2 linked regions of the Lytechinus pictus genome follow. The protein of the gene in region 1 binds, or shares a complex with, the protein of each later gene. Links are inferred from orthologs where the notes say so. Each region holds a gene or a part of one and is shown on either strand. Other genes may lie near its edges.

Evidence for each region.
Region 2: the proteins of C-Jun-amino-terminal kinase-interacting protein 4-like (region 1) and ADP-ribosylation factor 6 are in contact, whole or in part, in a crystal structure (PDB 2W83), measured with the Homo sapiens proteins. The link is inferred for Lytechinus pictus from reciprocal best matches to the Homo sapiens genes SPAG9 and ARF6. Residues at the interface, in NP_001124000.1 of Homo sapiens: Lys431, Asn432, Ile435, Val438, Asp439, Thr442, Cys443, Asp446, Val447, Gln449; in NP_001654.1 of Homo sapiens: Glu13, Arg15, Lys34, Phe47, Val49, Glu50, Thr51, Thr53, Lys58, Asn60, Trp62, His76, Tyr77, Thr79.

The regions. Positions count from the first base shown.
Region 1 is NW_026974140.1:2,997,424-3,013,650, forward strand, and holds the start of C-Jun-amino-terminal kinase-interacting protein 4-like, read right to left. Parts: upstream 7,822-16,227; 5' UTR 7,782-7,821; coding exon 7,741-7,781; intron 6,663-7,740; coding exon 6,615-6,662; intron 1,402-6,614; coding exon 1,142-1,401; intron 1-1,141. UniProt on the Homo sapiens protein: The JNK-interacting protein (JIP) group of scaffold proteins selectively mediates JNK signaling by aggregating specific components of the MAPK cascade to form a functional JNK signaling module.
Region 2 is NC_087250.1:26,843,526-26,860,103, forward strand, and holds the start of ADP-ribosylation factor 6, read right to left. Parts: upstream 6,467-16,578; 5' UTR 5,813-6,466; intron 3,212-5,812; 5' UTR 2,894-3,211; coding exon 2,812-2,893; intron 1-2,811. Other genes in the region: resistance to inhibitors of cholinesterase protein 3-like, read left to right, coding at 11,216-11,357. UniProt on the Homo sapiens protein: GTP-binding protein involved in protein trafficking that regulates endocytic recycling and cytoskeleton remodeling. GTP-bound form plays an important role in the transport of multiple palmitoylated proteins form the Golgi to the plasma membrane.

The sequences.
Region 1 (16,227 bases):
AATGTCTTTTCAATTATCACATTATTTGAAATATAGTTGTAAAATCCCCTCTCTATTTGTTTTCAGCCAAATTTCATGTTTCATCAGAAGCTGGGAGTAATAATAATAATAATATTCCGCATTTATATAATAATAATAATAATAATAATAATAGCAAATTTTTATAAAGCGCTTTTCCCAGAATGGCTCAAAGCGCGTTACAGCATATTATTACCCCGGTCATTGGATTCATTTCAATCCTGCACGAAAAGTGCACAATTTCCACTCCCTGGGGAGCATTCCTTGCATTCATCGCAGCCTCATTATGGCGCTGGCAAAATCAAACATACAATATCTTTCGCATCCTACCGGGTACCCATTTAGCACCTGGGTCGAATATAGCGCTTAATACATCGGAACGACGTCTCTAAGCGCTTTTACAGACATATTATTACCCCGGTCATCGGATCCTTGCATGCCCGCATACAATGTATGCACCTTCTCCACTCCCTGGGGAGCATTCCAACAAGAGTTCCAAGACTCAATTGCTAGGCATACTACATATAGGCTTTCACATCCTACCGGGTACCCACTTAACACCTGGGTAGAGAGTGGCAAAGTGTGGATTGACGCCTTGCCAAAGGACGCTAGGCCATGGTGGGATTCGAACACACGACCCTCTGATTACAAGGCGAGAGTCAGAACCGCTACACCACGACGCTTCCACGTCGTAAGGTAAGGGGGAACATATGGGAAAAAGGCCATAAAACAATAAAACAAGAACAAAGAGGCCAGTGAAATTGCCACTAGGCTTGATAAAAAGTGTAATTTGGAATTACCATAATGTCCCTCATTTCAAAACATATTGGATGACAGAAAGCTGCCACTCATTGATAAGGAAATAATTGCAAGTCATTTTCATGAACTGCAATAGTAACAAAATGAAGCCTTCTTAAGGTATGGAACTTTGTGAAGTTGAAGGTGATGGTCAAAGATGTCCAAAACTTCAAAAACTAAAAAAATGAAGAAAAAAATTTTTTTTCCCCAATTTTTTGCAAGTTCACAAAATGAGGGATGTGAAGAAATAATATCCCCCATGCAGAAAATATTAAATTTGACCCTGCTTGCATGCAGATATAATTTTAATAAAGTGTAATAATACCTGTCTCTGCATTCATAGTAGGGACTGTAGCCTGTGTTTCTGTGGTGGAGGACCCTGTTCCAGCAGCGATAGGTGATGTCATCGTCTCCGTCAGTTCCTTCTCTAGGTTCTTTTCATTAGATTTATCATTGAACTTGTTGAGAGCATTAGAAGGAGTGGTGGTCGGCGATGACAGGTCATCGGACATTATCCTCTCCTTGGTAGGTGTCAGCTGGTCATCGTCGAATCCACCAACCAATTGGTGTTTCTGAATGTTTATCCTATGGGAATGGATAAGAGTGAGCAAAGTTACAACAGAAGTATGCCTTACATACATGTAATCTGGAAAGTAACGGGAATTATTATCTGTACATTCTTGCAGATATGGGCTTTGCTTGTTTACATCTCTAGATACACTTATTCTACACAACTGTGTATTTAAGAATGAAAGATCACAGCTAAAGATTTATTGGATTTTATCACATCTGTCCAATCAAAGATTTTTCATTTTTGGGTAAAATCATGATACTTGAAGGTAAAAATAAGTCTCTTTATTACATTACATCCCCTTTCTTTTTCATTTCCCCCTTGGTGGGATTAACTTAGATCAAACTTGAAGGGTATTTAGGCTGACAAACTTGTTAAAGAAAGAGAAACTATGAATGAGAATAATAAAAAGTAAGTTATTTTATTATAACAGGCAAAGTGCATATTTTTTATTGTTGCATAAACAGTATAAACCATATCGTCGCCTTCCCGCAGAAAGGCCGTTAACGTGCAAGTACATTTTTAAGAAAACGCAAATTATGTTTTGACCTTATTTTTGTGCTTTAAGCAGCTAGTGTATTATTTTCTGTCCTAATTCTCATACTTTCTGACAAAGATGTTTTCTTCATTGATATTTTGTTTGTTTTATTTAAAACACTCTAATCTACGCTTTCTAATCTTAAGAAGGAATACCTTACACCCTTTTTCCGGGAAGAAAAATGTGCAATCCGCTGATCCAGTGACCGCAGGAAGGCCGCTAGCCCGAATCGGTCTATGCGCACACGCACGTTGAACGAGAAGCGTCTTGTTCCCAGACTAAGAATGCGTCTATATGCTAAAGCAAGTGGGAATGTTTTTGCTTATTATGTCATAATGACATCACATTCAGGTTCGAGAATGGTACCAGAAGAAAGTTCGGGACATGCTTTTTCCATTTCAGCAATATAACAAAATTCAATTTTTTTTTTTTGGCGCCAAAATACGTTAACGGCCTTTCTGCGGGAAGGCGACAATATAATGTAAATTCTTTGGGTACTTTTTCAGGGGCTGGGTCTTTTTTCCATTCAAAGTCTAAAAGAATACTGTATAAAATGAATTTGGAAGGTATGATTTAAGGAATCAAATAAAAGCTATAAAAGAAATGATAGCAAAAATGTTGACTTCAAAAATTATTAAGCAAATATGATTGATTAATCACCGGCAAGTACACATGTGAAATTAAACTAAATTGTGTGAATAAAACTGAAATACCAGGAATTAGGTGCAAAGAAAGTGCTAAGAAAAAATTCTTATACTATAATTGCCGAGGAATGACTAAATTTTCAAATGTCAGATTAACAACTTTCTTGTTGTGAGATAAAACTTTATTGTGCCAAATTCAACCATCAATGCGCTGAATCAACCCCAGTCAAAACTGAATTTAACATTTGAAAAAAAACTTGTCACTCCTCCACCCTTATAGATGGTGACTTAACATTTACATGTAGGTTTGCAAAGTATTTCAAAGGTGAACTGCATATGAATGATCAATATAATAACTGATTTATTTTTAAACATCATCTGTTGGAAGCCAATTTAATTATATCCACTAAAATCCTTATAAGCACCCTTCTGTCATCCAAGAGATGAGAGGTACAAAAGCTCCAGTATGATTAATTTACAATCAATTGCGCCCCCAACTGCCAGCATGTGAAAGGCCAATTTTAAGCTAGCTAGTACAAAGCTTCTATCAAAATAATATAGTAAAATCACAAAAAATGATAAAAATTACTAAAACATTGCCAGTTAGGTCAACATGGGTGCATTTGTGCTTCTCAGATGAAATGAAGATAACATATATCTGAAATGCAGTACATAGGGAGAAAGTTGAGGAAAAATTAGGGCTATTTTTCTACTTTTGTTCATTTATATTTATAAGCTAACATTTCGTATTGATCCATGTTAATGGCTAAGAAGTTAAAAGAGCCTGCATTGCACAAAATTTATGGTGGAAATACAGAAATCGTTAATGAAACAATTGCATATTTGTGTTTACAGAAACCAAATTTTCATGGAAATGCCAATCTCAAATGCACTTTTTTTGTGAGTTTCCCATTGCCATTTGTACAAATCCAAGAAAAGGTGCAACAGAGATTTGAACTAACATGTTTTGTGATGCCTAATGACCCAAGAGTGTCGAGTATAGAATAATAAATGCTGTGATTGATATTTTGGAATCTGAACAAAAATTTTGCAATGATAAGTAATCAAAATCAACTCTTCAAAATTTTGATAGAATTATATTATTCTAATTCAAGTGACTTCAGGGACCCACTTCATAAAACTTGTTATAATAACAAATTTGCAATAAGAGCTAAAAGCTACTGAAATCCATCTGTCTGATTGGCTGATAGTAAAATTTGTTATAGCAAATCTGCATTTGTTACTATAACAAGTCTTTATGAAGCGGGAATCAGATTATTTTACAGCTGCACCACAACTAATAATTTATTTTCCCATGATGCAATACACAAATCCTCAATAAGCTGGAGTCACTTGATGGCAGTTTTGATTGTAAATAAATAATACTCCCAAAGTCCCAAACAAAGGATAAAATGAAAATGCTGAAAATATGGGAGAAGTAAGACTGTTTTATTAATAAAACCAGACTACTCAAACTATTTAAAAGTTTAATAGCCCTCAGGATGACAATGAGAATGAAAAAAAAACCTGGAAAAGAAATTATGAAATTATGAAAGATGCCCCCATGCAAATATAAGTAATGGATAGGATTTCGAGGGTGGGTTGAAGGTGTGAGTAGGGAAGGAATCCATGCAATATAAAATTTCAAAATGCAATGTGCATGCACAGTGTCAATGATAAAAAGTGTATATCTAAGCCATATATCTGCATATTTTTGTCATGTTGTTTTTCCACCTCTTTTCATCCTAAATGTACGGTAACTAAGTCCAAAAAAATAGGGGGACTGATAATAAAGGAAATGAAAAAGATGTATTTCTTTCCATTAGGCATGAGAAGCCAGTTTAATAATAGTGAAATTTAAGATAACATACTTCAGGATCAGATTTGAATATTGCAACTGGGCTGTTTTTTTCTTTTTATCCATAAAATTTTGGTATATGGCTTAGATATGAATGGTAGAACAAAACAGAACCATGTTAAACAAATAGGAGTTCCAGACTTTTCCAAGCAATAAAGCAAATATCCATTCGTTAAAACAAACATATTCAATACTAAAAATTATTTTTCATTTTTCTGAATAATAACATTAGATAAAATTGTACGAAGGGTAACCACCATTTTAAAATATATCATTCTGACAGATCAATTAATTTTGATAAATTGATTTAATTAATTTTAATTAATCAGATTAGTTTTCAAATAAAACAAAAGCACAATATTTAAATGATATTTGTCAAATGAACACTCATTACAATCATCAAAATCAAGATGTAATTGAGCAAAAAAAGGCTGGAACCCTAATCAGATGAATATTAAAAGTACAATCAAGTCCAACTTAGCCTTTGTAGTGGCCATAATGATGAGGAGTTAATAATGCAAGCAGGCAGTGAATACACTATACACAAACATTCTTTTCTACATTTCTCTCTCATCTACAATGAAGATCTAGAAAATGGGAAGATATCTGTATATAAAACAAATAGAAAAACATGTTGGTTGGAATTAAGGAAGGAAAAGGAATAAAAACAAATGCAATCGCTCATACATGTTATTTTAAAGTCAATCTGTTACTTGTGTACAATAAATATAAATATACACCAAGGATAGTTTTGTTACAATAGGTGTACAATATACATGTACATGTATCCCAACCACCCAACTGGAAGAGGGTGATGTATAGATACATTTCTAGCATTAAACTTGATTTAAATTTCAGATGAAATTTCTTGAAGGGAGAAAAAGCCAAGTCATGTTGTGGAAATAATATTTGTGCTACTACATGTACATGTATATATACTATACTTGTTTTATTTGACAAAAATCAACTAAAACTATGTAAGTCAACAAGATCATTAAACAATTTTCACTGTTGAAACACTTCCAGGCTCAAATCACTGTTTGTATATAAAATAATCATTGTTAAATTATTAGGAAATAAGGATTGTAATATGTTGGCTTAGAATTTAGAATGTCTCTTTCCATACGCCTTCATAATTGAAAGTAATTGCTTACAATGCAATTATCTGTCATTATATCTGAATTTTGTATTTCACTTGTTTATTGTGGTTTGAAAAATGATGCCTCGGCTTCTTTCACCTAACCACACAATATCAGCTCATTTGAGAGGATAAAATCTGCAATCAACTGCACTTTTAGGCTTTTGTTTTATAAAGATCTAAGCCATTACAATATAAGGCTGGTGTATTGAATGTATGTCATTTTGACAATGACACTGTGAATGATTTTAGAGTTTGATACATCAGTCACTTTGTAGGAAATTTATGTTGTGTCAGGACATGGTATTTGACTTGCAATTGAAAGCAAGTTTCTTTTAATTGTTTGAGAATGCATCATTCAATGAATAACACAACATACAAAGGCTATCAACCAACATCTTTTCAATGCCACCTTATAAATTAATCAAGAAATGAACATTTTACATATTGTAACCATAACTCCATAATGCGTTTAAAGCATTATACATTCTTTAAATTGTGATCTATTTATTCATTTATTATTTTATTTATTTATTCATTTATTTATTCATTCATTTAATTATTCATTTATTTATTTATGCATTCATCTATTTACTTATTGATTATTTTTTAAATTAAATTTCATTTACCCATTTATGTATTCATTTATTACTATCATTTTGGGGGTGGATGCCAAATAATCACTAAATAATTCATTCTATTTTAGTCCATTTTAGTGTATGAAGAGATAGGCAGAATATACTGACTATTAAACTATTGTTAAACTTAAAGAATATATAAAGGAGTACATTTTTTATCCAAATATAGATATATATTTACAAAAATAAAATATGCACTTGTGCACTAAAAACCAACCATGCTCTTAAAGTTAGATGAACCAAATGTGCCTTTCCAAGCTACATATCATATAATACTGATGGTTAGTTCAACAAAAGAAAACATGCATTTAATACTCTCAAGTCAAAGGTACATGTATGCATATTTATATGTGAGTATGATATTGTAAGATATCAGTAATGATTACAAAGGAAATGATCTGTTTCTCATACTCATCATCCCCCCTTGAATAAGTCGGAGATCCAAGCTCGTGATTCATTCTGCATCAAAGAGGATTTATTTTGGGGCCAATTCATTGATGTGCTATGATTTCTGATAATTTTTTTTTATTCAAACCAAGATATCATAAATGGATTTTTTATATCTTACATCAATTTTACTTATTAAGATTCATCCCTTGAATAAAATACAAAGAAAATATCTGAAAAGGTACTCATCACAATGTCATATGATTATCATCCCTTATGAATAAATGATAATATAAAAACAAAATCTTGCATAGCAGGAGTATAAATTATCCATTCCAACAGATACCTACAGTACACATGAGAAATAGTACTGGATAGATTGGAAAGAACGACAAGCTTTTTATAGAGGTGTCAAACAGAAGTACCAAAGTATGATTATAAGGTCTATAAACTAATATACATGTAGACCATAGAAAAAGCACCACAATTGTACCATCATCCCTTTGATAAATATGAATTTCAATTTCATTTATGTGTTGCAGAAGAGATCTGAAGGGGCATTTAACAAACTTCAGCAGTATTAAAAGCAACTAAATTCAAATACCCAGTTGTGTGTGGTATATAATGCATAATGGTCAAACAATGCTTGGAGGATGTTTGCTTCTGTGTAATAATGAAGAAGTCTATATGTAAAATACGTGTCCTGTGGCACTTAAGCATGAATTTTAGTCACACTTAAATCTTCGTAAAACATCCCCTTTTTTTCTTTTTCCTTTTTTTTATAGAAAATGAGCATGTCTCCATGAACAGGATTGTGTTCAAGTTGCCAAACAATTCTTACCACTATGACAAAGAAATAAGGCCAAAACATTGATCAACTTGATTTAAAACTGCTCATTTACTTGCAGAGCTTGAGTTGAAAATACTAGCTCCCCCCCTCAAAAAAAAAAAATCTGAGTTGGCGTGTGAGTGTAATAGATCCATGGTGTACGTGAACAGTGCCTTTACATTTTAACCAAAGATCCCAAATAATATCATTTCACATTTCACAGCAGCATTTCTTGATATATAGTATATTTTATGCAATTTTGTAGAAGGGTGGGGGGGGGGGGGGGATGGTGGTATCAGATTATAAAGGGAAATCCCCTACCTGAACCTTTGTTGTGTGGTAGTATCAACCTGTCCCATCATCTTGACCCGGTCAACATACTCCAAGTACTTCTGAACAACCTGAATAGAAAAGAGACAGTTTGAAAGATAGTGAATGAAATTGGTAAAGCCATCTACAAAAATTAAGGGGAGAATGCAAAAAGAAGACCGTGAAAAAACCATGACAACATGCATTGTACAGTGAATTTGATGACCACAGTAAGTCTCTTTCAAATAAAAACTCTGAAAAGGGTAACATGATAAGATTAAGGTAAAGCATTTCTTGTTCAGTTAATACAATTAATTTTGTTCATTAAAATAAAGATTTCATTTATACATGTAATAGAGAAGAAGAAAGGGAGAGAGAGAGAAAGAAAGACAGATGGGAGAGAGAGTGAGATGACAGAGAATAACGTGTGTATACATACACTACACTGAGAGCACGCACGCATGCACATGTACCCACTGCACAACTGGCCCAACGAGCAAGCACAATACATATTCATGAGTTCCTAATGAATATGCATTTCTTCATTCAAGAGTGGTAAATATCATATTTCATTGCTAAAAATGAAGAATCTGTGCTTTGGGTTCAAAAACACTTGCACAATATCTTCTAAAAATTATATAAATGTTACCATGGCATACCAAATGACAAAATCATCAATGCCTGAATAAACATTTCAAAATTAAAACTACTAACCATTTTATTAAATACATATTGAATATACAGGTATCATGCAACTGCCACCAACTTTTTAAAAAGGGCTTTTGCTGCTTGTGGCACATGGGATTCCCCAATGGGGATTCCTGTGCGGAATCACTATCAAGAGATTTCGGAAGCATAATATTTGTGATTTGTGGCTGTTAGTTGTCTCTTGCACTGACGCCCTACATATTAAAGGAGAATGAAACTCTTGGAGCAAGTTAGCTTTTGTGAAAGCAGAAAAATAAAAGAATAAGATCAACAAAAGTTTGAGTAAAATAGGACTAGCAATAGAAGAGTTATGAGCATTTGAATGTCGAGATCACTAATGCTATGGAGATCCTCCCATTGGCAATGCGACCAAGATCTATGATGTCACAGATGAACAACTCTCCCCTTTTGGACACTGAAAATATACCCCAAAACATCTCTTTTTGCTCATTCTAATCATATGACAAACGATTCATCAATGATATAATGTTGTGAAACCTCTGTACTTGTCCTCTCATAAAGAGAACACCTCGCCTTGTGATAGACTATAAAAGTGAGAATGTAAGTGAAATAAGTACTAAAGTAATGAGGGAGTTGTACGTGTGTGACATCACAGATCTTGGTCGCATTGCCAATGGGAGGAACTACATGGCATTAGTGATCTCAATATTCAAATGCTCATAACTTTCTTATTATTCATTCAATCTTCATCAAACTTTCAACAATATGTTTCTTTGATTTTTCTCTTTGATATGGATTCAGCTGGTTTCAAGGGTTTCATTCTCCTTTAAGTAACTACAAAAACCAACTTGACAGTGTCAGGGGTTTGAAATCTTCAATAAAATCCCAGACTTCCTAGAACTACAGGGCAACATTTCAATTCAAATCAAACTATACATATAATTTTCTTTAAAAAAATATATATTTACATATCGTAACATTTCGATATGGAATGAGCTGAAAATTTCACAATAAATTTCTTTGTGGCATACTAAATCCAGTCGCTAATTCATTTATAGATACATGCTCAAAAGTCCCTTTTCAAAGAAACAAGTGGAACGCCTCTGGCAGTCTCGCCTGCATTACGCGATTTAATATAGCAGCAGTGCTAACTTTGAAAACTACTATAAAATAATCATTCACAAAAACTCCATTCATATAATGACATAATACCACGTTCATTGACCATAAATGACATTTGAACGGTGACTTAAGACTTGTCAACTACATCCATGTCCACATTTCAATCACTCTATCTATAAACTTTCAAAGTTATGATGGCAATTCAACAATTACCCCAACATGGCCTAAGTTTATTGACCTTAACTGACCTTTGACCTTGGTTTTGTGACCTGAAACTCACAGGGGATGTTCAGTGATACTTGATTACTCTTATATCCCAAGTTTTATGAACTAGATCCATAAACTTTCAGAGTTAGGATGGTAATTTAACAAATACCCCCAACACGGCCAAAGTTCATTGACCTTTAATGACCTTTGACCATGGTCATGTGACCTGAAACTCGTACAGGATGTTCAGTGATACTTGATTACTCTTATGTCCAAGTTTTATGAACTAAATCCGTAAACTTTCAGAGTTAGGATGGTAATTTAACAAATACCCCCAACACGGCCAAAGTTCATTGACCTTAAATGACCATTGACCATGGTCATGTGACCTGAAACTCGCACATGATGTTTGCTAATACTTGATTAACCTTATGTCCAAGTTTCATGAACTAGATCCATAAATTTTCAAAGTTATGATAGTAATTCAACAAATACCCCCAACTTGACCAAAGTTCATTGACCCTAAATGACCTTTGACCTTGGTCACGTGACCTGAAACTCGAGCAGGATGTTCACTAATACTTGATTAACCTTATGCCTAAGTTACATGAACTAGGTCCATATACTTTCTAAGTTATGATGTCATTTCAAAAACTTAACCTTCGGTTAAGATTTTGAAAATAATTCTCCCAACATGGTCAAAGTTCATTGACCCTAAATGACCTTTGACCTTGGTCATGTGACCTGAAACTCAGGCAGGATGTTTAGTAATACTTGATTAACCTTATGTCCAAGTTTCATGAACTAGGTCCATATACTTTCTAAGTTATGATGTCATTTCAAAAACTTAACCTTAGGTTAAGATTTGATGTTGACGCCGCCGCCGCCGCCGCCGTCGGAAAAGCGGCGCCTATAGTCTCGCTCTGCTATGCAGGCGAGACAAAAATGAACACCTTACTGTGAGAGGGCGATAGAAGCTTTAATAAGTAAATTCTATTCAATAGAAATAGATAGATAGATAGATAGATAGATAAGATATATAGACAGACAGACAGACAGATAGATACATGTAGATAGATAGATAAGATAGCTAGATAGACAGACAGATAAATGGTTTATTTGATAAAAAACATATATCATGGCGACCAAGCTGAATTGAGATGAATTTACATATAAATTAACATGAATCAATACATAAAAAAATTATAATGAAATACATGAACATATCTTTGAATAATAGTTATACATGTAATAATATTTAGAGTGCAAAAATTGTGGAATATAAATATCAAAATTTGATTAAAATAGTATAATGACAATGTAAATTCATTACTAATTGTAAAGTTAAAAATAACAATTTTGATTCACTAATAATTGGATTGAATTCAAACTGAATTGAAGTGAAAATTACTGGTAAGTGATAAATATAACATTATAAACATTGATTTTGAAAAGTAGTATGCATATAACAAAATGTGGAATAAAAAACTATAGGGGGCTGGGGTCAGATTTCTGGGTCTTCATAACATTAACAAGTGGAACGCCTCTGGCAGTCTCGCCTGCATTACGCGATTTAATATAGCAGCAGTGCTAACTTTGAAAACTACAATAAAATAATCATTTACAAAAACACCATTCATATAATGACATAATACCACGTTCATTGACCATAAATGACATTTGAACGGTGACTTAAGACTTGTCAACTACACCCATGTCCACATTTCATTCACTCTATCCATAAACTTTCAAAGTTATGATGGCAATTCAACAATTACCCCAACATGGCCTAAGTTTATTGACCTTAACTGACCTTTGACCTTGTTTTTGTGACCTGAAACTCACAGGGGATGTTCAGTGATACTTGATTACTCTTATATCCCAAGTTTTATGAACTAGATCTATAAACTTTCAGAGTTAGGATGGTAATTCAACAAATGCCCCCAACATGGCCAAAGTTCATCGACCTTTAATGACCTTTGACCATGGTCATGTGACCTGAAACTTGTACAGGATGTTCAGTGATACTTGATTACTCTTATGTCCAAGTTTTATGAACTAGATCCATAAACTTTCAGAGTTAGGATGGTAATTTAACAAATACCCCCAACATGGCCTAAGTTTATTGACCTTAACTGACCTTTGACCTTGTTTTTGTGACCTGAAACTCACAGGGGATGTTCAGTGATACTTGATTACTCTTATGTCCAAGTTTTATGAACTAGATCCATAAACTTTCAGAGTTAGGATGGTAATTTAACAAATGCCCCCAACATGGCCAAAGTTCATCGACCTTTAATGACCTTTGACCATGGTCATGTGACCTGAAACTTGTACAGGATGTTCAGTGATACTTGATTAACCTAATGTCCAAGTTTCATGAACTAGATCCATAAATTTTCAAAGTTATGATGGTAATTCAACAAATACCCCCAACTTGGCCAAAGTTCATTGACCCTAAATGACCTTTGACCTTGGTCATGTGACCTGAAACTCAGGAAGGATGTTCACTCATACTTGATTAACCTTATGTCCAAGTTTCATGAACTAGATCCATAAATTTTCAAAGTTATGATAGTAATTCAACAAATACCCCCAACTTGACCAAAGTTCATTGACCCTAAATGACCTTTGACCTTGGTCATGTGACCTGAAACTCAGGTAGGATGTTCACTAATACTTGATTGACCTTATGCTTAAGTTTCATGAACTAGGTTCATATACTTTCTAAGTTATGATGTCATTTCAAAAACTTAACCTTCGGTTAAGATTTTGAAAATAATTCTCCCAACATGGTCTAAGTTCATTGACCCTAAATGACCTTTGACCTTGGTCATGTGACCTGAAACTCAGGTAGGATGTTCAGTAATACTTGATTGTCCTTATGGCCAAGTTTCATGAACTAGGTCCATATACTTTCTAAGTTATGATGTCATTTCAAAAACTTAACCTTAGGTGAAGATTTGATGTTGACGCCGCCCCCGCCGTCGGAAAAGCGGCGCCTATAGTCTCGCTCTGCTATGCAGGCGAGACAAAAATAGCTATTTTTTAGGCATGAATTTAAAGCTAATCTAAAGTGAATTTAATTCGTTTTTTTTTATTTGTTTTTTTTAAATAAGATATACAAGCTAGAAATAAATGCAAGAATCCATGTTTTTAAGCACAAATATTTTTTCCACCCTCAGTGAGTGCTTAGATCTCCCAGGCCAGGGTCTTGTTTAAACAAGTGATCACCGAGATGATTACAGAATATAAAGCGAAAACACACTTTTATTTTAGAGAGCGCCCCCTCATCTTCAGGAATCCAACTGATAAGATTTGAGAATGTATTGCAGAAAGACCTGTAATCAAACACAACTCTGAAAATCAAATGGACTTGATTTTCAGCCAAACAGAAGCATAATACACAAGTCATTTTCTCTTTGCATTCAAATGAAACTCTTTCGACAATGGGTCCTTGAAAAGACAATATCAGTTTGCCTTCCTGATGGCTCTTTAATCAATTTGAATTCGAGCTCATATGATAAAACAATTGTACCCATCAACTCAAGCACCCCCAGTGTCAACACCCTCTAGATAAAAGAGAATTTTGATTAGAAAGCAAGTCCCTTGCCTCTTCTGGTCAGAGAGATTCAGATTAGTGCCCTGTAACACAACGGTTTGCAATCAATCGCACATTTGAAATATCAACTCTAGATTGGTTACAGCTCAGTCTTTTCAATGAAATGCAAATGTAACAAGGATCTTGATTGGTCATTACCTTTTTTGCTATTGATCATTACATTTGTGTTAAGGGGCCCAGATGCTTTCTAAATTAAGTTTTCAGTCTGTGAAATGTCTCCTACAAGTACATGACTCACACTTTAAAGGGAACGAACAACGTGGCCTATTTTATAAATTTGTAATCAATGGCAAGTTAACAGCTAAAGTTATGCTACTAAGATGCGGTAAACAAATCAGTCAAGAACAAATTTGTAATTCAATTCTAGCATTAAAAAATTGACATTGAATAATTTAATACCTATTTGGCAAAAAATGGAAGCACTAATATTTGGTAATGTGTATAATGTGTCATTAAATACGTATGATCAAAAGCTGCATTGCAATTGTATCTAATTATTGTTATATCAAATCGACAAATCTCCTCCCGGATATCTTTGAAATTAACCTTCCTAACAATCAAAGTGTTCTTTTTTCTTTTGCTTCTCAATCAGACAAGATTACATAGACATCTTGAACTTATCCTCAATATCTATGATTAAAAGGGGGAAAATAAAAAGAGAAGACTACATGTACAGTACATGGGGTGTCAGAGTCTCAGAAACATGACTTTCTCTTGATTGCAATCTCCATTAAAATGTATATGTGTATTAAGGTATACAGGTGTATGCTGGTTTCTTTTTTTAAAATAACTTCTCATGAAACAATCTTTAATTTCAATTAATTGTTTTTTAAGCTTTTTTTCCAGAATAATTCTCTTGAATACAAAAACATGGCCTTTAATCATTTACTATGCTGTTTTACATGTCTATACATGTATGTGTATGCATAAACTGTTTGATCTGACATCTCATTATTTGGGGAAATTTGGATTATTGATGGCAGGGTAATGTCCATTTCAAAATCAAAATTAATGCAACATCAAAGAAAAAATCTGAATGTTTTATTTTCTGAATTAAAAAAAAAAGCCAATTCATAATTTGGTAGAGTGGAATAGTTTATCATCACTCATTGTTATAAATGACATCAAAATTATTTAGTTGCAACATGGTTTGTCCAAGAGTTTTCAGTGAATAGGCAAAACGTTAACAAAGACATCCATATGGCTTTATAGTGAACCATTTTAGACATTAAATCAATATGGAGTAGTGAACCAGTACTTAAGGCATTTTCAATAGGGATTTATAGTGAACCATCGGCCTTTTAATATATTAGAAACATGCATTTAATTTTCGAGGTCGAATTGAATTGATATCACAGGAACAGCAATTCCTAAACATGATCACTTTAAATGCAAATCTCTTAAAATGTTCATACAAAACACGGTGTACATGTACATGATGTATCTCAGCTTTTGACTCTGAAATGTTTGGTCATCAAACACATGAAGACCACTGCAGGAAAGCAAGCTTGCCTGAGTCAGCACATGCCCAGAATACAAGCATTGAAATTCAAGTGCAAGCGCATTTCTGCGAATGCACGGAGAATGCACATATCTGAAGAGGCAGACAGCAAGTACGGTAGTTCAGAAAGGAAGGAGACGGAGTATGCAGTACCTCAATGAGCATGCTAGATGTATGACTGTGCACAATGCTTTCAGCATATGTTTTGAGGAACTCAATACAAATGGATGGTTTCTACATATGGATGTTGTGTGTGCATTTTAATTTGAGCGTACAAGTACTTTCCGATGTAATCTATTTTCAGCATCATCATAAATAACCGCATATGTGTTCAAAGAGGAAATAACATGATGATCATCTGTATAATTGCAGTTACAGACATATACCTCTACATGTACATACTGTATCACATGTTCAGCTGTTACTGCAACTCAATTAAGAAAATCATGTTGTGATCCCTTAATAAAAAAAGAATGTTCAAAATAAAAGTGGTGGGGCCAGAGCCATATCTAATGTTTGTTTGTTAATTATCGTAATACCATCAAATTCAAAGATAATAACGCTTGTTCACAAAGCACTGACTTTAAACCAATTTTTTTTTTGTCTAAATTTTTTTAAAGACACCATCAAAATATATAAAAAAAATAATAGAAAGCAATACCAAACATGAGACCAGACTCGGAAGGCTACGTACAGGATCAGCACTTGCCAATTTAGAATGTAAGCCCTACATGCTGTAGGATGTGAAGTTAGCTGTCAACTAGTAAAGTGAAAAGAATATGAACCTTGTTATATCATACACAATTTATAAAACAGATAAGAGCTCAATGGCACACCAAAATCTTCTCCTGATTGTGATTTTTTCTTCTCAATCTCTGAGTTGCTCTTTCTCCCACTTTCTCGATTATGGCTAATTAATGTGACTAATTGTGTTTCCAATGAATAAATAACGTAGGTCTACATGTACATCTGACTGTGGTAGAATCTGCCTTCATAACCCAATTTTGCAGATATGCATAATTCATTTTAATGTACATATATATACATGTAGGGTGAGAGGATAAGAAAATTCATGACCAAGAAAAAAGTGAGGAAAGGAAAGAAAAGAAAAATAAAAGAACGGTATGTCAAATATATCACAAAATTAGGTTTGTCTACTAAAAAAAAAGATCAAAACTTTTCCGGAAAGGCCAAGTCTGGCCCCTTCAAATTGACTTATTGTGCCACTAGATAGGAGTGTTTCAAAATAGCTCCATGGATTTCCTTTTCCTTCATGTACATTTTGGGAAATAATTAGACCACTTTCCTACTAAGCTCCATGTGACATGGGGTGCGTTTATCCGCCACTTTTTTACCCTAGAATCATGATCTGAATCAT
Region 2 (16,578 bases), on another chromosome or scaffold:
CAAAACTTACATGTCATAGCACTGTTATTCCCTATCTAATTTTTATGAAATTAAGTTTTGCTGTCTAATTTTACTTCATCTGTTCAAATCATTATTTTCAGCCTGGAGTATAAAGTGTATTAAACCCTTTTGCAAGTCCACCCAAACAAATAGTTATTGATAGGAAAAAAATAAACTACTTTATAGCATAAAAGTAAAAATTTCATAAGAATCGAATGAAAAATATTAGTTAGGACATCCTAAAAATTTGTTCATTTTTCACAAAACAGTAATAGGAACAAAGATTCAATGAGAGGGAAAGAATTCACTGACTCATCGACTATAAAATAAGTTTCTTTGCAAATAATTTTATTTCATTTTCATTTCTCGCAGATTTAATCATGTAAAAACTCTTCATTGATTAACTGTAGCAAATGGCAATTCAACAAGTTCAAGGAGAGACCTTTGTTTCACATTTTAATGAGAAAATAAAAATATTTCATATTTGATATGAAGTTAAAAAAAGAAACAGTGAGGGAGTGACCATCATCCCCTCCCTCATTTGCATACCGGCCAGGATTTGCATACCATACACTGTACTTCGTACTGTTTTGTGGAATCAAGCAAAACTTTTTTAATTCAATATGACGACCACTTTTTCATGAAACTTTCACCTAAAGCTTGCTTGATTTTTCTCTGTTTGGGTGGAATTGACCATTAAATGAGAATGAAAACCATGGAACATGTAAGCTTGTGTGTAAGCAGAAAAATCAAAGAGCAAGAGAAACAAAGTTTCGAGTGAAATCAGACTTTGTAACAATAAGAAAGATTAATATGAACATTTGAATGTTGAGATCACCGTTACTAGGAATATCCTTCCATCGGCAATGTGAACAAGTTCTGTGATGTCATCAAACATCATTACATGTACACCCCCCTCCCTCTTAGACCCTGGAAAATATATACTCATACATGTATTGATTTTTCTCATTCTAATGATAGGACAAACAGGACAATAATATTACTGTGAAACCTCTATTGCAACGTCCTCTCAATGAATAGAACACCAGGGGAGTGTTTCATCAACATTTTCATCTGACAAGTTGTCAGATCTGACAACTTTCCTTGATTTTGATTGGCTGAGAGGCATTGTTCCTATGGTAACTGTCGGATAAAATGGAACTTGTCGGATAAAACTTCTGACAAGTCCTTTCATGAAACACTCCCCAGGGCTCCGTAACACAAAGATTAACGATCAATCGCTAAATGAACTGACCAATCAATATCAATGTTACACGCGCATGAGGTTTTAAATACTGACCAGGGACCAATCAGTGCAGTTCTTTCACATTTGCAATTCATCGCAAACCTTTGTGTTACGGAGCCCAGGGGGGGCGTTTCCTGAAAGGACTTGTCAGACGTTTTATCCTACCTGATAAAGTCCTCTTTTATCCAACAGTTACCATAGGAACCAATCAAAATAAAGGAAAGTTGTCAGATCTAACAACTTGTCAGACTAGAAGATGATGAAAGACTCCACAGACTTTGCGACAGACTAGACCAATGAGAATATGGTGGTGATTTTTTTACCTAATTGCTATTAAAGAAAGCATTCAATGCTTGAGAGCAAGCAACCAGAGGGCCAACAGCTTAAGGTCCTCTCCGAGGGACCTAGTAATGAGGATTAATGCCTTACCAAAGGGCACTAGCACACTGAGTGGGAATCGATCCCGGGTCAGCGGAATCCGAAACCCCCCTCTTCCGACTGAGCTATCGCGAAACGTGTAATGGGGAAAATTAAACGTGTGTGACATCATACATGTAGATCTTTAGTCACAATTAAGCACAATGCCAATGGGAAGATCTACATGGTATAGTCATCACAAATATCTACTTCAAACTAGGTTTAATATTTGGAAAGCAGTTTATATTGGAAACCAGTTAAACATACAAGAGAGGCGCATAGGAGTCTTGGAAGCGATCTTAAATGTTCTTCCAAACCAATGTTTGCATACAATCAGCAGGCTACATACATGTATGCAAGCATCCTTTAGCAAGGCATTTAATAATCAACACACTTTGCCACTAGTCTGCAGTCACAGACCTTTGGTTTTCACAATTTGCATTTGATACATTATACAGAGTCTGAAGTGAAGAGACTAGATTCACTCATTTTCACTGTGTACTGTGGCTCGCTCTATTTTGACACAGACACTAGTCTTAGGAGTCTAGTCTTTGACTTTAGACCTGTTAATGGTTGAAGTATCAAATATGAGTCTGTGCATGCAGACTACTTTGCCACTCTCCAACCAGGTGGGTGTTTCATAAAACTGTTTGTACAGTTACGCACAACTTTACGCACGACTGGAACCTGTTCTTAGGCGCTAAATCAGTTACATAGCGATATCATTTAGCACAATAAATGGTCACCAGTCGTACGTAAAGTCATTCGTAACTTACAAACAGCTTTATGAAATAGTCCACAGGTGTTAAAATGGTACCTAATAGGATATGAACTCCTATGATATGGACATGTAGAATACATACTGTACATGTACAAATGATATGTAATTTACGATAGCGTCTTGGAACTCATTTTCGGAATGCTCCCATGGGAGTGGAGAAGGTCTTGGTGCATACATTGTGTGCGGGCATGCCACAATCCCATGACCGGCGTGAACAAAGAGTGCTTAGAAGCATCTTAATGCATTTAATGCTGTACGTACTATTATTGTGATGATCACAATGTACACCTGTACAATTTAACGTATACCCAGCTCTGTGTTTAGAGTATTGGATTATTTAATTGTATTTTTTTTTTTCAAAGGATACTTGTCTTGCCTGCAGCGTCCAATCCTAGCATAAGAATCCGAAGATCCTTCTTGCCGAAGATCTTTGAAAGCATTTTACCCATTTTGAAAGAGTCCTTTATTTCTCTCTTCTTCGATACAAAGAATCTTTTGTCCGTTCCCTGATGCACTCTCAACAATTCACAGAATGAGAGGATCGACTCTGGTCCTGTTAACTGTTCTTCATGTAGGATTGCAACTCTTCCTTCTTCAAACGTGTAGTCCCATAAACAGTATTCTGTGTGTTCCTTCTTCAAATGTGTAGTCCCATGCACAGTATTCTGTGAGGGTCAAGACTACTTCCCTTCTGACAACAGTGGTATGTTTTGTTCTTTGAAAGTCTCTTCCGATGTTCCTTTTTCGTCAGAAAAGAGACTTCATACCTGGCAAGATAAATAACAAAATTTGAAAAAAAGCTCATTACAACAAGCAGAGCAAAATTCAGAACATATTGTTATATTATATAATAGTAATTATTTACAACTAAAATTAAAATTTTATGTACGTAATTACTATTTGGTAAATAATTTGTCCATAGCGTGGGTCATCGCAGATAATGTGCGCCATCATGGAGCGAGTCAAGCCCATTATATTAAGCATAATAAGTAACCTCAGGTTTGGCTGATTTAAATCACGATTCAAATCACCATGATTTTTTTTTTAATCATTGATTTAAATCACTTCCATTGAAACATGTACAAATTATTGACTTTTTTTGTTGAAGCAGTTTGTTGAAGCAGTTTTATTTTTTTTCACTCAAAAGAAAAAGATTTATAAACTTTATATCAAAACATGAACAAATCCTTCATATTTACTCAGAGCAATTGACATCAAGTCAATAAGATCTGGGCCCGTTGCAGAAAGAGCTACGATCAAACGCAACTAAAAAAATCTTGCGCAACTTGATTTTCAGTCAATGAAGCACCTGTACTCGGGACTTGTGTTTAAACGCAACTCTTTCTGCAACAGGCCCCAGGTCGCAACTCTTTCTGCAACGGGCCCCTGATCTTATTGACTGGTTAATCTTTCAAAACTAAAGATGTACTACGTAGTGGTCAACACTTAAGACCCCCACTCCACTTTAAAGTAGACTTTAATAGTTACATTTTCCCCGTAAACTTTTTCTTTTCTTGATAGTAAACAAAGTTCTTGTATCTTTATGTAAAAATCCAAGTCTTTTAGAGGACAGTTTTTAAGAAAATATAAGAGTAAGAAAAGGGTTATTGGCAGTAAGTTCTATTCTGATCATTCACAATAGCAAACTGCACTTCAGAACCAAAAATATGTAGAGGAAATTATAAAAGAAACCCTGAACTTAGAACATACATGTATAAGGCATGAATTCCATCAGAAATGTTTGCCACGATGGGTTCGACTCAAGGCCTGTTCAGACTTTCTGTATACAATCGTGCTTCATTCAGCTGAGTACAATGAGGAAGGTCCAGTAATCAATGTATTACAAATGTAAGCATGCTCTTGGTATAGGACACTAAATCATGGCAACATACATACATTTATAGCGCCCTATGCCAAAAGTGAGCATTTATTTTTGTACATTTCTCAGTGAATGTGTTGAATTGAGTGCAATAATACATAGACATGCAAAATCTATGTTTATTCACAAGATACAAGACCTTAAAATTCCTTTTTAAATGCCACATCAAAATTATGTTAGTAAAAAGATGTAAACGAAGTAGGTTATTTGGAGCAGTCTTTCCTCTTTTTATACCAAAATCATTAAATTTGGACGACGCCCAACACTAAACAGGATCAGGCAAGATTTCCATATGCACCCCCCACTAAAATTGAAAATAAAAACATGGAGAAGATTCAAAATAATATCTCTGACCTAATATACAACATATATAATGGGGGAGTGGAAATACATACCAAAATATGGCTTTATTCTGTCAAATTTCGCGCAGGATCTAGTGCGTGTAATTGTCCAGACATCGGTTTATTTTTAGTCAGTAAAGGGTCTATGAGTGACTGTGAGTTAAGACTACATGTAGTCGAACTATCAGCTGATAATTGTTAAAATACCCCTTCCGGTATCAGCGCTTTTCGCTAGCATAGCGGGAAGAGGTCTTGACTGCAGATAAAACGAGGTGAGTTCGAGTCCCAACTAAGTTTTGTAAGTAAGGTATCTTCATGTATAAAGCAACAGTAAAAAAATAATAGAAAAATCTGAAGTGAACAAACTTTAAGTCTCGACAATCTTTTGTTAGTTTTGGTGGGGGGTGCATAGATAACTCTTTCCCAGGATCATATGTCAGAAATGCATTGAACTTTGATTTTTCCCTCAAAACCATGACAATTTTTGGCTGTGTGAATGCGGTGAAAAGGGCGATTTTTTTTGCTCTGTGACGTGTGCAGTCACCCTACCATGACTACTAACTACTACTACTAGTACTACTAGTAGTACTACAGCCTGTAATACCAGTGGGAAGATCTCAATTTTCTTCTGACCACCACCTCTAAATTCAATCTAATGGCTGCTCGATCTAGTATTGTATTTCTAATTTCTAATAATAAAGTTAACGACAGAACATTGACTTTTGTCTTTAATTAAATTAAGTTGAAAGTTTATGGCAATATGGGACGGTCTACGAGTACAACTACGGTACGGCCGGGTCTGGTTTTCAAATTACACTTGCGTTAAGTTGCATGCGGCCTTGCGGGTAACAACACTACTTTAGTCTAGACTTAATTCATGTTATTTCTTGAATACTGTATCACGAAAACGTGTGGGGTTTAGCCGAAGTGCGTGCATTAAAAATCGCACGCATCAATGAGGGAGATGACTTATCACACAGCTCACCTTATTCACACACACAGCTCACGTCACCCGACGTCTCTGTAACTTTCAGTACACGAACGTGCCGCAAGCATACACTACCGACTTCCGGGAATAAAATAAGTCCCTAATTCAATCACCAACATTCATCAAACGCTTAATAGAACATAAATTACGTCTTATTTACCTCAAATGTCCTTAAGCGAAACATTGTGACGACGATGGACAAGAGTCGAATGCAGAAAAAGTAACGTTTGACACTTTCTTTTCATTCATCGAGCACGGGAAGTAAATTATACGCGCGCGGTGAGTGAAACCGCAGTACAAAGCATAATATTTGAGCGATTAAAAATAAAGTTCTCATTGAAGCTGAGATATTTTGCATTATTTCCTGAATTAAAGTAGATTATGTGAGTTTATATTCATAATAAAAATAACAACTTAACTTATATTTTTTATTGTTGGAGCAAAGAAACAAATTTTCATGAAATCTTTAAAAAGTACATGAATACATATCAGCTTTGAAGTGAATTGTCATGGGCGTGGTGACGTTATCAACAGGCTCGTTCCAAAATTATTGGTAAAATGTAAGTCCCACATGTTGAGAATTGTGTATTTAATTGATAAGAAATTCATTATTAGGATTTTTTCGCAATTATTTTATGCTAAAAAGTTTACAAATTGTCTACATTCTGAAGCATGAAGTAAGGATATTTTGCAAATAAGCTCCGATATTTGTAATTTTGAGCGTTTGATTAAATCCGATTCATGGCGGGAATTCCCCCTCAAAGACGACGCAGGCGCAGGTACAGGTGTACGTATATGTGCACTTCCCAAGTATGTGAAAGAGAGGGGAACAAGGCCAAAGCTCCTTCAACTTCAAGTTTGCCTTGGGATAGATATGGAAGGAGTGGAATGAGGAAGGGGAATGGCATCGGTGGCACCGCGAGAGGACGGACGTGAGGGTTATCCCCCCTTCCGTCAGGAGCACTTCCCCTCCCACAGAAATTCTGAAAACTGAAATGTAAATCCGCCTCTGATGCACCCCCCACACACTACCACATAAAAATGTAGTGGGAAATATAGACACTATTGCCTATTATTTGTATTTGCCCTCTATTTTCGAAATCCCACTGCCGCCACTGGGAAGAAAGAGTAGGGGAAAAAGACTGTCCTTATATACGTGTAACTCTCTCTCTGATGAGAAGTAATGGAGGAAATGCAAATTCAATCGATCATTGCTGTTTTTGTTTGTTTGTTGCTTATTTTCTTTTCTTCTTCTTCTTTCTTCCTTAATTGATTTATTGTCTCACTATAGAACGCCGGAACACTTTAAAAGCACGAGCTCTAATTCGTACATTTCTTGTAGGCCTACTTACCTGAAGATAATTTTGTTCAAGTTGGCCAGCCGCTGAGGTGCATGGCATATAAACAATGCGAACCTTTTATATATAGCGGTGCATGGCATATAATTTAAGCTACGCATAATTTAAGCTACGCATACCATTGTTCTCTTCATCCATTTCTTTCACAATATATTATATATATATATATATATATATATAATATATTGTGAAAGAAATGGATGAAGAGAACAATGGTATATATATATAATATATTGTGAAAGAAATGGATGAAGAGAACAATGGTATGCGTAGCTTAAATTAAGGTTCCCCAGAGCTATCTGCCCTTTTGGAAAAATTGGCAATGCCGAAAAAATGTATCTGCCGGGAATCGAACCCGGGCCCCCAGCTTTGAACGCCGGTGCCTTAACCACTATAGACCACCGGCATGCAGAGACGGGTCAGTGGCTAGGGCGACCCCGATCCGATTGAACGTCAAATAGACAGATTTTCGACACCATACCAATTATAATTTCCTTTGTTGGGTGAATATATATATATATATATATATATATATATATATAGGCCTACATTTATGTTCAGCCCCATTTTCAAAACTATATAAAGGACAAGTCCAACCCAACAAAATGCAACTAAAAGATGATTTGAATAAAAAAGAAAAAAATAATCCAACCAGCATAAAACCGAAAATTTCATCAAAATCAGATGTAAATGAGAAAATTGTGACGTTTTCAACTTTTGCTAAAGTTTCGCAACACAGTGATAGTATGCAAATAAAGGGACTGATGATGTCACCCGCTCACGATTTTTTTTTTCATTGTTTGAAATATTCTTCTCCTTTATAATTCTCCTGTGAAACACACCCTGAACATTTACAATTATATGACTCAGCCAAGATGGTAATTAATTATTGTAAAATCTCTAAAAAAATGAAATATTGTACGATTCAAACAATATAAACGAAATAGTGAGGGACATCATCGACTCACTAATTTGCCTGTCAATGATTTGTGCATAATAACTGTTCTGTGAAAGATAAGCAAAACCTTAAAATGTCTTAAATTTCTTACTTACATCTGATTTTTTTGTTAAGCGTTATTCTTATTAGATATTTCTCGATTGATTCAAATCGAAAATTTTCTGGGGTGGATTTGACCTTTGAATAAAATGCGTATAAGAAAATAATGGAAACTCGAATAGCGAACAGAAAAATTTGTGCACATTAATTTGATAATGGGTTATTGCAAGCCCATAATACTCTTGTTATTTCTTTTAATAGGCAACATTGCGAAATCGCATTTTTTTAAACCTTTATATCAGTACTTCTGACCTGAAACTTATCCCTTTTTTCAATTATTCCCCTCTCCTTATATTTTATTCGATTCTATTACTCCTCCGATCTTACGTTCTTCTTAATTTCTCTATTATTTACCTCGGTACCTCATTGCGCTGCCAGTAGGGCAAGGCACCGTTGCCCGCTTCATTACCCGATCACCGAATCAGCCTATGCCCCCCCCCCCCCACGGCATATTGGGAATTTGTGTAAAAATGTGATATGAATTCGCGCTTATGGAGAATTGAAAAATAATCTTGGGTATTAAACAAACTTAAATTCACTGAGGACTATCATGGCTTATGAAACTAATAATTGATTTACTAAGTAAGCCTATATATAGGCCTACACAAACAATAAAAAAGCCATTCCTATATTTCAAATAAATTTAGATCGGAGAAACTGAAAAATGAAAGGGTTTACAAAATATATATGATGGTTCAAGGTACGAAAATTTTTCAGTTATGAAATTGACACATTCAGACAATCGGTGTAATAACAGACTATCGGTGTAATAACAGACTAAATTGGGCGTTTAGGCAATCAATAGTTAGAGGGTGGGTTAAAGGGGAGGGGGGCATTTTCACAATGGGATATTTTTTTACCGTAATTTAGTTTTAGTCTTTGCATTTTTTCTTGTAATGCACTCGATTAAGTATTGTGTATTTACAGTGTATATTATTTTTTATAATATGTATTTACGTTGCAATTAAAGGACCCCATGGAAGAATAGCGGCATTATGTTAATACCGCTGAAATGGGCGATCCTCCATATTTTATTTGACGATTTTCTTTTTCTTTTTGTAATTTGATCATGTATATATATTTTGTTTTATATGGAAATAAATACAGACAAGAAAAGTGCCTTGAATTAGTCGTTGTCATGATGAACACGATGTATATCTAATTTTTAAAAAAATGCGAGCTCGAAGCGCGGGCTTAAATTTTTGTACAATGAAATTATGAAAAAGAGACATCTTCCATGTCTTCAGTTGTAAGCTGAAAATGTATTTATTGATCTGTTAATGACGGTTTCCAGTGACTCATAAAAATGATATTGTCACCAGTCATAATAATGCGAACGCAAAGTGCGAGCAGTATAATAAACTTTGAGCACTTTTTGTCAAAATGAACATAATTATGCTATCTAACCAAACAATAAAGTGCAAGCTTAAGATTTTCATTTTCAGACTGAAAAACTTTGCTTCTCGTGGTTATTAAGATGATACTAAACTATATTTAGCGCGAGCTGAAAATTTTAGATTTCCCGAATTTTAAACCCGAAATTTTTTGCACTTTATGAAAAGAATAGGTATAATAGGGCCTATCTATACGAACTGAAAATTTAAAAGTTTTTGACTTTTAATCTGGAAATTGTTAGCATTTTTTTACCATGTACAGAATAGATGAACAGAACTGATGCGAGCAAGAAACGTGAGTTTTAATTTTTCATTTTCCGACGAGAAAACTGGAAATGTACTTTTTGTAATAATTAGAAGTATAATTTATGAAGAGCTCACTTGCAAAAGGGGTTCATCATCATCATCATCATGTTACGAGGTGAGGTAATCCTGTTGACCTCGATCTCTTCATCTGAAATTGCAGTCCATCTCCATACGATGTGTTATTACATAAGAACAAAAACTTGCACACGTGGAGGGTAGAGACGGTTTTGATCATTGGAGATTGAAACGCTCAGACCATTTTTCAGGTCCATTTTTCATCAAATTTGATATTTTGTCTCAATGTATAGATTTTTAGTAGCTCTATAAGATGATACCAAAGAAGAGTTGAAATTCTCATTAAAAAGTGATCTAAAATGGCAAAGAAAAATCACTTTTTTTTCAAAAAGGGGTTAGGTCCATTTCAGTTTGGCTGCAAAAGGGGTTAGGTCCACACAGTATTTTTTGGAAAAGAATATTTTAAAAATATGAAGACAGGTAGATTTTTTTTATACCCAATGTTATGTTCTCATGGTAGGGTATCATGAAAATTTAGTTTCGCATAAGAATATTGCAATATGGGAGAATAAAAAAAACTTGATTTTCTTGGAGTGGACCTAACCCCTTTTGAAAACAATTTATTTTGAAAAGCTAATTTTTCAAAAGGGGTTAGGTCCATTGTTCATAATTTTTTATTGTTTTCTGTCTCAAATCATCTAAATTTTTAGTCATTCTGATGAAAACAACGAAAATTTGAAATTCACATGAAAACGTGAATAAAAGTGGCAAAGAAAAATCACTTTTTTAATCAAAATAGATTGGATTCATTTCAGTTTAGTTGCAAAAGGGGTTAGGTCCACGATGATAATTTTTAAAAGAATATATAGAAAAAAATTGAAGACAGGTAGATTTATTTTATACCCAAGTTTATGTTCACATGTAGGGCAGTACATCATGACAATTTAGTTTCTCATAAGAGTATTGCAGTAAGTGAAAATAAAAAAACGTGGTTTTTATCGGAATGGTAAAAAGTGGACCTAACCCCTTTTGCAACGAAACTCTTCATACGAGCGGAAAGGGGACGAAATGGCCCTACCCTGATATAAGTCACCTTTCTTCTCGTGTGTGTCAGTGTGTATGCGCTCGTTGTGTACAAAAGTCAATGGGAGATGAAAGAAGTCACCGCCGCTGACGAAATGAACGGCAGTGAATGGAGTGGTGACTTAAACCAGAATAATGCCGAAAAAAATTATCAGCCATTTTTGGATTACCGCCCCCTTTTACATGACGGGAACTTATTTATGAGCGATAAAACCAGAGTTATTAGACACTACTCTGGATACACTACCCCCTCCCCCTCCATTTGTGATCAATTGTATCCGGTGGTGGCTTGTTGGCCGGATAACCGGATCACGATCAGAAGAAATATCCGTGAACCAATAAAATTCAAGATGGCGTTTTACCACACTGCCTGTTTTGTGATCGCTGTAATGATTATTTGTAATGCCATCTTATATCCGACAATATTTAGCTCAATTTTCCGGAGTTGGTTTGGGGGAACACCACCAAAGCAAGAAAAAGAACAAATGCCCGGTAAGATCTCTAAGACTGTGTCAAATACCTTTTTTAAAATTAAGCAAGAACAGATAAATTTTGTCATTTTTGTAGTCTACCGTAGATTGTTCTTCGTCGTGTTCGGATGCAGGGGCTACCACTGGCTCCCGGCGGTCGGAGGCTGGCCCTGCGTTTGCGAGCAGCTGTATGCCAATTGCCAGGCATTACGACGGGTCGCGCCCCGCTCAGCTCGGCTAACTGGCATGACTGGAGCTTAAACGGCTTGACTAGCCGGGCTATGCCTAGTACAGGGCTAGCTTTTTTTTTTTTACTAATACTAGGCAGGGAAGGGGGGGGGGGGTTCAAATCAATGAACGAAACTTAGAAAAGAAAGAGCAAAAGAGAGGAGTAAAGAAGTGAAGGAAGAACTTCAAGTTCAAGAAGTGACTGAAAGAAAAAAAAGAAAGGAGGGGAAAAGAAGGAAGAGGAAAAATATAAGATAGAGAGAAAAAGAACTAAATAATTAATGATGTTAGTGTTACAGAAAAGTCAAGAAGGAAAGAGCAAAAGAAAGAAGCAGGAAAGGGAAGAAAGAAAGAAAAAGGAAAGAAAGGGGAAATGAAAGAAAGAAGGAAATCAAGTAAAGAAAATGCAAATGAAAGAGGTAAAGTACTAAAGAAGGAACAATTTAAGCAAGAAATAAAAGAATTTAAGAAAGGGAGCGAAAAAAAGTAAAGAAAGAAGTGAAGGAAGAAGCGAAAACCTAAAAAGGACTGAAAGAAAGGGGAACAAACATTAAAGAAAGGTAAAAGAAGAAAGAATTAGAAAAAAGAAGAGGAAGAAAAAAAATAGAGAAAAAGGAACAAATTAAATTACAGAAGTAAAGAAAGAAGGGAGAAAAATGAGTAAAGAAGAAGGAAAGAAAAGAAGAGAAGGAAGAAAAGCCAAGAAAAACATTCATCAGAAAGAAGGGAAGAAAAAGGAGGAAAACAGAAAAAAAGGAATGAAGGAAGAAAGAAAGAAAATAAATAAATAAGAAAGAAGGGAAAAAAGTAATTTAAGAATAAAACAAGGCTCGACATTAGCGGTGGCCCAGGGCCACCAGAAATTCACCTCGGGCAACCATTATTGAAAAAATGTTAAGTTTTGGTGGCCCGAATCGGGCAACCAATAATTTTCAAAGTAGCGCAATTTTTCTCCCGATTTTGCACGCATTTATCAACTTTCTACAGTTCAAATTGCAAGCCAATTCATCATGTGCCCTTTTTGTTAATCTACACACAAAGATTGCATAGTCATGGAGGAAAGGAACATTACAAAGCAGTGGAGAATTGTCCAGCTGGCCGCGCCGGCCGTCTGGCGTGAGCTTTGCATGCATGAAACCACTGCAGCTCGATGTGCGCAAGCAGACTATTCAGACTCGGGGAGCTGCGATACGAAATGTTGCTGCTAAGAAATCTTCCACAGAACTTTGAAAATCTACGTCAAAGTCGCATTTTACTATTTTTACACCAATGAAATGCCCTTCTACAGTCCATACGACTAAAATCTGGTGTAACCTGATTATTTGCAAGCATTAAAAAGAGGAATTATGACCTCTCTTTTGACTCAAAAAGACCGATTATTTCCAAATGCATTACATAAAACACATAGGTGAGTACATCACATTCCCATGTGTGCATTTGTATGTATGTTGATACTTGGTTTCTTTCTTGTTTATAAATGACTTCTTAAACCACTCTTGAGGAAGTAAATACTTTGGAAGGCATTTCATTGATATGAAATGTGAATTTTTCTAGCATTTTGGCAAATATAGGGAAGGACTTTTCTCACACTGTTTTTTCCAGATATAACTTTTGCCGTTTTTTTTTTTTAATTTTTTTATTATTTTTATAGTGGTTAAACCATTTATACTCCTTCCCATTGAATTTGCCTGATTAAAGAATATGTATCTACTGAAAAATTATAACAATTTTCCCAATTTTTTATTAATTTTGTTTTATTCATTTTTCTTTCATTTTCTTCTCTAAATTTTTTCTTTCCTTAATTTTTCCTGTTCTTTGTTTTTTCATTCTTTTGTTTTATTTCACTTATTTATTTGATTATTTTTGTTTTCTTTTTTTTTTATATACTATTCTAAAAATTATTTTTTGTTTGTTTCCCCCTTTTATGCATTGTTCTAATTTTGCAGCATATTTTTCTGTGATTTTCTCCTGCTATAATATGCTGGAAAAGAGAAAATAAACTGGATTTGGGGCCTGCATAATCTCGGTTTTAGGATTCAAAAAGGAAGAAAGGAAAAATCATTGTTTTGTACATCTATTGAGTTTGCTATGCACTATTTATTTACTTTACCATTATGAGAGTGTGTCTATACGGAGATTAAAAAAAAAAGTCCACACAACCTGGGAACAATACAATTCTTTTATTCTCTTTCAATCATTTCATATTTACAATGATAGATAGAATTTACAATGATAGAAATGATAGATTTACAATAATAGCAGGGCCCGCTGGGAGAACAGTTTTCGGAACTGAAGCGGCTTCCCTGGGTAAATATACCTGTATTATTATTATTATTATTATAGAACAATTTATATATTACCACAAATCAATTAGCAAAGTAAAATAACAGCAAACAAGATTTACATACAAGATGTACAAAGTGAAAGTAACTTAGTGGTAGTGGCTGCAGAATTAATATTTCAAAAGTTTGTTTTATTAATTTTTAATTAATGTTTTTCTTTATATTTTTCGGGCCACCAAACTTTACTATCGGGCCACCAAAAAAATTATTTGAAGGTTTTGGTGGCCCGAACGGGCCACCACCAAAAAAAGTTAATGTGGAGCCTTGAATAAAAGAATGAAATAAAGAAATAATGGAAGGAATAAGTGGAGAAAGAAGGAATGAAAGGAAAGAAAGAAAGAAGGAAATAGAGATGCAGGAAGAAGAAAATGCAAAAGAAAGAATGAAGGAAGGGAAAAGAAAGGAAATTTTAAAAAGAGGAAAAAGAAAAAAAGAGAGGAAAGAAAGGGGGACTGGAAGGAATAAAGGAAGGATGAAAAAAACGACAAAAAGGAAATAAATTTATAGATTTTAAAAGATGAAAGAAATAAATAGAGAATACTTCCCTCAAATTTAGTAAAAACTAGATTTTAATTCGTCATGAGGACGAATTAGGTGGTCTGTCATGATTTTTCGATTTTCATTCAGTGTAGGCTAATGTATGAAATGAATTAGATATGATTTAGATATGATTGATAATCTCGATCATAGACATCATGGGAATAAATTTTGACCATTGCTAAATATGATTACCGGGTATTCAGTGATGTGGTGATGACAATCGTGATGATTATAATGATATTGCTAATGTTGGTGATTTGTTTCTTGAACCTTCCTGTTATCCCGTATCCAAAATTCATGCTAAGACATCGAATGCTAGACAAATTCTGAAAGTGATTGTGAGTTTGTGATGCAAGAAATGTGAATGTTTCTTCCTCCTACGGCGGGAAAGACACAGATCATTATTTGATAAGATGTACTGGTACCGTATCGTAGTTTGCAATGTACAAGAACAATGTCCTACATAAAAAAACGCAAAGCAAGTGGGCTTGAAATTTTCAGCAAGACCGTACAATTGATTAATAAAACATTTCCAACAAAAATTTCTAAAAATTAGGTCCAGAAAAAATTAGCAAAAACTTAAACAAGTCATAACACATTGATGCTGTGGTCGAAAGTGAAATTATTCACACGTTATTTGTAGAGAATTGTCTTCACCACATCATATCAAAATTTGGGAGAAAACTGAACATTAATAACGAAGATACAGTCAAATATGCATAAATACGTTGACGTATGTTGTGAAAATATGTAAATTTCACTTCTAACGTAATTTTGAGGTAATTACGAAATCTCCAAATGAGATATTGAGTATATCTAAGAGTGAGGAAAAATTGGGGGTCAACGGACTTCCTGAAGAGCTACAGTGAATTTTATATACATGTAGGCATATTTTTGCCCATTTATGACTTATTTTTGCGAGTTTGCACGCGCGAGTAATGCAAATTTGAATGTACGCGCATTCCTGTATTATTGGTCGTAAGAGGCTGAATGAGGTATCAAATTAATCAGAAGATAATGGACAATGGACAGACATAAAATAAATGATGACTCGAAGATGTATACCGATGGCAGGTGCAAGAACGCGCACGCATACCAGTGCGCGCGCAAATTCTTGAAAAGCTAAAAATGACCTGAAACGTACCCAAACTTGACCACGGTCGATTTGGGGCATTTTAAAATTTTGATGCCCGCGTACATGTGCGTCATGACCTCTGATGACATGTCCTGATGACCTGTCACCTGAACTTGATATGATGCAAATATGGATGATTTTTTATGATTAGTTGCGATGATATGATCAATCATTTAATTTTACAAAATGGCGCCTAGATGACGTCAAGATTTGATAGTGTCATTGAAAAGTTTCGTTTCCCATGTCCATAATGATGTCCATACATGACATGAAAATCAAGAAAATGGACATGCCCGATTTCGAGGTAAAGTGGGACAAAGATTAGGCAATAAAAATAAAGAAAATTCTGACGAATATAAAAGGTGATCTGTCATATTCATGACAGACCACCTAAAAAGAAGAAATCTTGGAGAAAAGTAAATTTGGGTAAGAAAGCGCTGTAATTTCCCCACAATATATTTGCCACACCGCTAGCATGCTACATGTACATTTCTACAGCACAGACTGTATGTACGTATCAAACAATGCAGCCCCTGCACACGCTGATGACAGATATACAATCCCATGTTCTCTCGGTGATGTGGACAACAGGGTAATCCCTTTGAGGAGTCCCTGGAGAGGCGGGGGCCCCGTGAATCTTTATACAAAGAGACTTTATTGACTTGCATCTCCATTGACTCCCAACTCCGTGCTCAGACTGTGTAGATTTGAAATTGGCAACGAGGTTAGAGTAAATTATGATATGTGTAGGGACAGTGATTTTCCGCGATCGCAGAAAACGGACGGAATTCACGGAATTGGCCTTTTGAAATGGAAAGTAGCTTTTCAAACGGAAAATCACAGAAAACATGTTTTTTCTCAAAATGCACAAAATAGCAACAGAAATTAATCCTAAATCCTCAACAAAATACGAATATCAACTGAATAAAACACGATCTCACTTTGCAACAACAATCATGACAATCAAAACATCATAACTACACTCGAGCTCCTCCATC